2 linked regions of the Oryctolagus cuniculus genome follow. The protein of the gene in region 2 binds, or shares a complex with, the protein of the main gene of each other region. Links are inferred from orthologs where the notes say so. Each region holds a gene or a part of one and is shown on either strand. Other genes may lie near its edges.

The links.
Region 1: CNOT9 (region 2) and CNOT8 share a complex: the UniProt entries of both Homo sapiens proteins name them as parts of the CCR4-NOT complex. The link is inferred for Oryctolagus cuniculus from reciprocal best matches to the Homo sapiens genes CNOT9 and CNOT8.

Annotation. Positions count from the first base shown.
Region 1 is NC_091437.1:41,749,458-41,753,103, reverse strand, and holds part of CNOT8 (CCR4-NOT transcription complex subunit 8), read right to left. Parts: intron 1,075-3,646; 5' UTR 1,004-1,074; coding exon 887-1,003; intron 1-886. UniProt on the Homo sapiens protein: Has 3'-5' poly(A) exoribonuclease activity for synthetic poly(A) RNA substrate. Its function seems to be partially redundant with that of CNOT7.
Region 2 is NC_091434.1:20,855,292-20,859,555, forward strand, and holds the start of CNOT9 (CCR4-NOT transcription complex subunit 9), read right to left. Parts: upstream 2,926-4,264; 5' UTR 2,743-2,925; coding exon 2,719-2,742; intron 1-2,718. UniProt on the Homo sapiens protein: Component of the CCR4-NOT complex which is one of the major cellular mRNA deadenylases and is linked to various cellular processes including bulk mRNA degradation, miRNA-mediated repression, translational repression during translational initiation and general transcription regulation.

The DNA of each region.
Region 1 (3,646 bases), on a different chromosome or scaffold from region 2:
CTGCATCCACGTGGGAGACCCTGAGGAAGCTCCTGGCTCCTGGCTTCAGATGGGCCCTGCTCACTGTGGCCATTTAGGGAGTGAACCAGCGGATGGAAGACCTTTATCTCTATCTAATCCTCTCTGTGTGTAACTCTGCCTAGAAAATAAATTTAAAAAAAAAAAAAAAAAGAACATTCTAGATTGAGAACAATATAGCAATAAAAACACAAATATGGTGAAGTGAAAATAACTATATGGGAAAATAATAAAGAGCCATGATTAGCCTGAGTGAAAAAGAATAGAATCCGATCATACAGTTCTGTACACCACGGTAAAGACTTAATTCCATAATCTCGAAAGTGACTGGTGTACAGGAGATTAAGTGAGGAAGGTATGAAAGTGGCAGCAAGCAATGGGAACTAGGGTAACACAGGGCACACATGCCTCTTTATAGAAGGCCTTTAATCTCACCACAGTACTCACTTGTCTCTTCAGCCACTTAATGTCAGGCAAAAAAGTACAGCATAAATGACCAGATCTGCCTATGTTTTCCAGAAATGCCACAAATTTTCAAATATCTCTTGATTTTTAAATGGTGGCAAATTTTTTTTAATTTTCAAAAACACTCAAGTCGAATCTATTATTTTTCAAACACAGGACCCTATGGGCGATCTACCTTGCTTCAAGCCTTTGAGCAACATAACACAAAGTCTAAGATATACCAGAGCTTATAGCCCTCTCAGAGCCACTGGCTACCTTATTTTATAATATCAACATGATCTTCCCTCAAGTTTAATTTACCACTGCTTTAGTAAAACATACTAATTCCTCCTTTTCAAAATCAAACAGTAGATATTTCATAAGCGCAGACAAAAAGGCGAGCGAGATACAGCAGCACCCTTACCATGGCAATATAACTGTAACTGAGCACAATTTCTCGGATCTTCCGCATCTCTTCCTCCAGATTGCTGGCCCAGACTTCACAGATAACCTGGCTGTTCTCCACAAGTGCTGCCGGCATCCTGAAGAAACCTGAGAAGTCACTTTCAGCTAACTTCGTCAGAAGGCAAGCCAGACAAGGTTTGAGCTGACCTGGATTCAAAAACATTGGGAAACCATGTAAGTTTACAATCTGGTATAAGGTGACAACACATGAAAACAATACTTGAACATCACTTCGTAAGTTTACACTAGAACACTAGGAGCATTATGTTTATCATGGGAAAATCTGCCTTTTTCAAGAAATACATATGTACACATGTACACACATGCATGCATGCATATACACACACAGAATTCTTTAACCTGAAAGAAATGAAATTTGCCAAGGAAATATCTGCCCAAGCTGCCCTTCAGCAAAGAAGTGAAACCATTACCCTGAAGGACTCCTCAGTCCACTGCAGACTCCCTAAAACACATCTGACCACAAACGTGCCCTTATCCTCGACTTTCACATCACTCTGGCAGGAGACCACATCATGGAAACATCTCTAAAGGAATCACGTTAGCCATTTTAAATCCACCTGGGATCTCGGAAAGCCTGAAGCCATGTGGATCTAAACACTCACACTCCAGTCTCACCTGACTAATGCATGAACAAGGGCATAGGTCTCCTTCCTCCACTCCCCAAAAAGGGAAAATTGTTTTTCCCTGCAATCCACAAGCCTCACAGAAATGGAAGCAATTAACTACTTAGTATAGTGCCTCTTCGGATTTGTGCAAGTAGATTATGAAGTAAGGGGTTTACATCATAGAAACTACTTGCTAATTTGAAAATAAACAACCTTAACAACCACAATAAAAATCAAAATTTGATGACTAATGTCTACATTTAAACATGTAATATTGTAAGAAACTAAGCAGCAATTCAACAATGAGAGAAAACATGGCAGGTATAACTCCTTCAACCAGAAGCAGAATGATTTAGTGTATTTTTGGGGAGGAAATTGGGGAAGGGAAAGTATTTTGCAAAATAAAATGCACATCTTTTAGTCTCAAAATAATGCTATTGTTATAATCAGGTCAACAAGAGAAGAGAGTTATAAAAAGGCCAAAAAGAGAAACTTATCATAAGGCCACTTACATATAAGGCAACTCCACTGTATGGATCTTCCATACACTGTAACAGGGGAGGGATATGTGTGTGTGTGTGTGTGTGTGTGTGTACACTGGGAAAATTCTTAGAATCAGTAAAATGAATTGAGTGGTTTCCAAAGGACAATGCATGGAAAATCTCTGCTTCCTATTTTTTAAGACTGGCAGATGCAATAATAAGAATCTAGAAGAGGGGCCACTCTGGCATAGCAGAAAAAGCCACTGCCTGCAGTGCAGGCATCCCATAGGGCCAGTTCAAGTCCTGGCTGCTCCACTTCTGATCCAGCTGCTATGGCCTGGGAAAGCAGTAGAAGATGGCCCAGTTGATGCCGTGGCTCACTTGGCTAATCCTCCGTCTGCGGCGCCAGCACCCCAGGTTCTAGTCCCGGTTGGGGCGCTGGGTTCTGTCCCAGTTGCTCCTCTTCCAGTCCAGCTCTCTGCTGTGGCCCGGGAAGGCAGTGGAGGATGGCCCAAGTGTTTGGGCCCTGCACCCGCATGGGAGACCAGGAGGAAGCACCTGGTTACTGGCTTCAGATCAGTGCAGCGTGCCAGCTGTAGCAGGCATTTCGGGGGTGAACCAACGGAAAAAGGAAGACCTTTCTCTCTGTCTCTAACTCTGCCTGTCCAAAAAAAGAAAAAATTAAAAAAAAAAAAAAGAAGAAGAAGATGGCCGAAGTCCTTTGGGCCTCTGCACCCATGTGGGAGACCCGGAAGAAGCTCCTGGCTCCTGGCTTCGGATCGGCCCAGCTCCAGCTATGCAGGCCATTTGGGCAGTGAACCAGCAAAAAGACGACTTTCTCTCAGTGTGACTCTGCCTCTCTGTAACTCTGCCTTTCAAATAAATAAAATAAATCTTAAAAAAAAATCTAGAAGAAAGCAAAAGTGACATTTTCAGGTGTCACATTTCTGAAAACCTTCTGAGAAACGAACCTGATACTGTGTTGGCAATCCCTGAGAATTCATTTATTCAACGTATCCTATGTTTCCACAGACATTTCCCTGAAATTAGTTATTCAACCTATGTAGACCAGGTAATAAGTATGGGTGGAAACTGCTTTAAGACAGAATCCTTTCCATTTCTAGTGGTCGTTCTATTACGTGCCTTTTCTTTTTTTTTTTTTTTTTTTTTTTTTTTTATTTTTGACAGGCAGAGTGGACAGTGAGAGAGAGAGACAGAGAGAGAAAGGTCTTCCTTTGCCGTTGGTTCACCCTCCAATGGCCGCCGCTGCAGCCGGCGCACCGTGCTGATCCGATGGCAGGAGCCAGGATCCAGGTGCTTTTCCTGGTCTCCCATGGGGTGCAGGGCCCAAGCACCTGAGCCATCCTCCACTGCACTCCCTGGCCATAGCAGAGAGCTGGCCTGGAAGAGGGGCAACCGGGACAGAATCCGGCGCCCCGACCGGGACTAGAACCCGGTGTGCCGGCGCCGCAAGGTGGAGGATTAGCCTATTGAGCCACGGCGCCAGCCTATTACGTGCTTTTTCAAATGAACAAATCAAGAGCAGGAAAATCAAAGTTCAAACTTAACATGGAGTAAAATCCACTTTCTGTCCATAATCAAGAGACTGCC
Region 2 (4,264 bases):
TTGACATGGACAAGCAAAGAAAAGTTAGGCAAATTGGGAGGCTCGGGTGGAGACACCGAATTAGATCCATTAGAGCTGCAATGAGGAAACTTTCCTACATCATTTGGATATTTATAACATCAGTCATGGGTTACAGAAATTATTGATTTAAGAACTAGCCTGCTGTGGATTTACTGAATTTCAAGTCCCACTGGCAGTTGCTTTGGCCTTGTACAGGCTGGAGGCCAAACATTGCTCACCCCTGCTTTAGAGTGTACAGTGCTCTGTTTACCCAAGAGGAGGATTCTGGGAGTCCACCACAACTTTAAGGAGATATGACTAATGATGCTGTTGGCTAGGTAGAAAGTGAGAGAAAGACAAGAGTTTAAGGATGCTAGAATTGATGGTAAGATTTACTGTAAAACATTTTAAATTTTTAAAAAGATTATTTATGTATTTACTTTTATTTCAAAGGCAGAGTGACAGAGCAAGAGAGGGAGAGAGAAAGGGAGAGGGAGAGAGAAAGTGCCCTTCTATCTGCTGGTTTACTACCCAAATGGCTGCAACCAAGGGGAGGGGTATGGGTGTAACAGGAGCTGGTTCTAGCCCAGACTAGAAGCCCAGGATTCCATTAAGGACAGGGGCCCAAGTACATGGGCCATCTTCAGCTGCTGTCCCAGGTGCATTGCAATATCAAGGAGCTGGATTGGAAGCAGAGCAGCTCAAACAAGCAGTCGGGACTCATAGGGGATGTCAACATCACAGGTGGCAGTTTACTGCTGGGTCACAACACTGGCCCCTGGACATTTTTGAAAAGTGCATATAAAATACATCTCCTAACGGCTGACCTTTGGCTGTTTCAGTAGTCTAACATTCATTACAAAGACTATGGCAATGTGAAGAACTGTAGTTCTGTTCATCTGAAGCTACCTCCATGGTCCTTTACTGAAGCAGAAATTAAAGAGTGCCAAGGCTGAAGTTTGGGACCAAGTTATTAAATCAGTGAGTCAATCACTAAGGACTTTGTTATTTTATTTTGTAACATTATCTATTTATTTATTTGAAAGCGCATCAAATGGCTACAGCGTTTCAGGAGGCTCAGGGGCGAGTGCCTTGGTAGCAAAGGTAAGATTGCTGGAGAAGGCTCGATCAGGTTTTGAGAGCTGGGCGAGCCAAGCTTAGAATTTCCTTTGTTCTTCCTGCCTCGCCTCTACCAGCAGCATCCTCATTTTGCTTCTTCTTGAATTAACACATACAACTTGGAAAAAGGAACAAAAAAGCTAGGGAAGCTGCCATCACCGGAGAGATATTAAAGCTGTCTCTGCACGGTTACACTGAGAGGCACAGTGACCGAAGACTGATACCACTGGCCCTGGCAATGACAGGCTGAGATCAAACCTCACGAGGCAATGCCTTTCCATAGCTCAGTCATGTGCAGCTTCAATTTTCACTTTCTATATTTAGAGTTAAGGCAATTTTTGGTGTTTTCCAGATCTTGGCAATTTCAGTACCTTACTCTCCTTAAATTGCATCCCGTTAGTGAAACGGAGAAAGTGGACTTGGCCTTCAGAGCAGTGTATTCAAATCAAATGATACTCTTTTTTCCCACTGTGGCTAGGCATTCTCAGTGGTCAAACCCACTCAGCTGTATCTTCCAATCAGCAATGTGTTTGAGTCCTGGCCCCGGGGAAATCATGTACACAAGACCACATGTCCCTACCCCTCAGGAGGGAGACCGCCAACATTCGAGAGGCACACACCGACTACACTCTGGGATCGGTGCCGTGAAGGCTGCTCCAGCAAGAGAAGAGTTAAGAGCTACAAACCGCTTTGAATGGGGAGGAGGTGGTGTGAGGGGGGCAGATTCAGGTGCAGACCCGAGGGAAGAGGAATCAGTTGCACTCACATCCAGTGTGTGTGCGCGCGCGCGTGTGTGTGTGTGTAAGGAGGGAGAGGTACGAAGGAAGGGCATTTCAGGCAGACCATAAAGTGCATCCTGGCGCGGCAGAGAGCGGGTGGAAGGGTTAGGGAACCTGCCAGCACAGCTGGCGCTGAAGCAGCAAGCGACACAAACTAAGGCTGTAAACGTGGGTAAGGACCAAGGACCACATCCCACAAGGCCTTGAAGGCCGTGGCAAGGAGCCTGGACCTGATCTCCATGCAACGGGAAGCCCTGGGCTCATCTCAGACCGGAGAACTGCGCGACCCGCTTGTCTCGTTAAAACATCATGCTTGTAAAACGAGATGCGCGAAAAGAGGTTTTAAACGTTAAGTCGGACGCAGTAACGAAGCCCTTCTCTAGGCCCCGGCTTTTCCCTACGTAAAGCAAGCGGCGTGCGCCAGAAATCATCTCCTTCCCGCTGCCATGTGCCCAGGCGGCGAGTCCCGAGGGCGCGGGCCGGAGCCGAGAGCCCCAGGCGGTCCCCGCATTGCCGCCGGAGCCCTGAAACCGCCGCTGGGCGCACTCATCAATGAATGGCCGGCCCCGGCCGCGAGGGAGGCGCTCGGCGCGCGGGAGCAGGCCCCGATGCCGACACGGAACGCGAGGAGCCGCGCGGGAGGCCGAGAGAGGCGTCCGGCGAGGACAGCGGAGGCCGGCTCCGCCACAAGCCAGGGCCTCGCGGGCTGCGGGCGGAAAGAGCCGGGCTCCGAGGCGGACCCGGTGTGCTAGGAGGGGAGGCCGAGCGCGGGGCTCCGAGAAGGGTTCCGGCTCCAGGCCGGGCGGCTCCAGGCACTCACCGCAGCCGTCGCCAGGCTGTGCATGTTGGGAGCGGCCGCCGCTCTCCTTCCTCCGCCAGACGCGCCTGACCCCCCGTCTCGGTTTCAACGCCTCTGCCGCTGAAGATGAGCCGCCATCCGCCTCCGGCTCGCTCCGCCCCCTCCGCAGCCCCTTGACCTCTTACCTCTGACCCCGCCCACACAACCTCTTCCCGCCTCCCGGCCCTCGGCCGAGTTAACAGTCCCAGAGTCTGTCCTTTGCCCCTTAAATTTCAGGACTAGAAGGTCGTCCGCGACCCACTAGTCCCCGCACCCCTCGGCATCGGGCAGGTATCTTCAGAGAGGGGAGTGAACTCTGACCCTCCTCCGGAGGCCAGTGAAGGGCGGGAAAAGCCGGGCGTCCCTCCAGAACAAGTATTGCGCATGCCCGACTGGGCTGAGAAGAAGGGAATGGTGGGAGAACGGAATGAAGCGAAGTGAAGGTGCGCGTGCGTAGTACGGTCACGGCAGGGGCGGGGCCATTGGCCTAGGCCGCGTTTGGTGCTGGGGCGGGGCGAAGGCGCGCAGGGGGCGGAGTTTGCGGGCTACCGCGCACGCGCCTGCCTCTGGTCGCGTCGAGTGTGCGTACGTGCGTGCGTGCGTGCGTGTTTGCGTGTGGTCATAGTTCCCGCCATCAGCCGCTCTCCCTGACCAGGGGGAGCGAGCGGCCTCGCTCTTTCGGGCCCGAGGTCCCTTCCGTCTTCCCTCCCGGCTCCCCCGCGCCGCGTGGACTCCGTACTCTTGGCAGGCCTGTCGGGGGCTCCGGACTCTCAGACACAGGTAGGACGCCGGAGTGGCTTCTCCGTGGAGTCGGTTTTTTGGAGCTCCCTTCCCCGTGCGGTCCGCCCACCCGGCGTTCACTCTTGCGGAGTTGGCCCGGCTGACGCTTGGGCCGCCGGAACCCCTGCAAGTCCCCCCGGCAGCACGGGCACTCCGCTTGGCTGTTCCCTGCCGGCTTCCCCTCTCCTTTGACCTGCAGCGCTGTCACTCGCTCCCTCCGCACCCCGAACCTGACCCCCTTTTTCTCTGGGACTGTCATCCTTCGCTGCTTGCCCCCCAAGGAGGCCAGCCGGCTCTTCTGGTGACTTCTTTGCGCTTGTCCGTCAAGCCGTGGGCATGACACTCGCTCTGATGACCATTCCTTACCCGCCTCCGCCTAACCCTTCATTAAAAGGCGTAAATCGCGTTTTTGGCGTGTATTTGGCTGCTTCCCCTCTGTGGCCATCCGATCAGCTTGTCGTTCATGAGAGGAAGCTGTAACTGGTGAGAGTGCTGTGTCCTGGATGGTTACCCTAGCGTGATTTCGCGATAATCCTTCCAACATTTCAGCCCCGGGTAAACGATTTTTACGGGGGTGGGGGGCGACTGGGAGGCGGTGGCCGTGCCCTAGGAGCCTGACCTGAAGAGACACCTAGGAGAGGATGACAAGGATGCAGCCGGGGGTGCTGAGCTGGAGGTCCGACGAGAGGGGTTCTGCACACACAGACTGTGTGTGTGTGTCATCTGCCGTGCTGACAGTAGTTGGAGC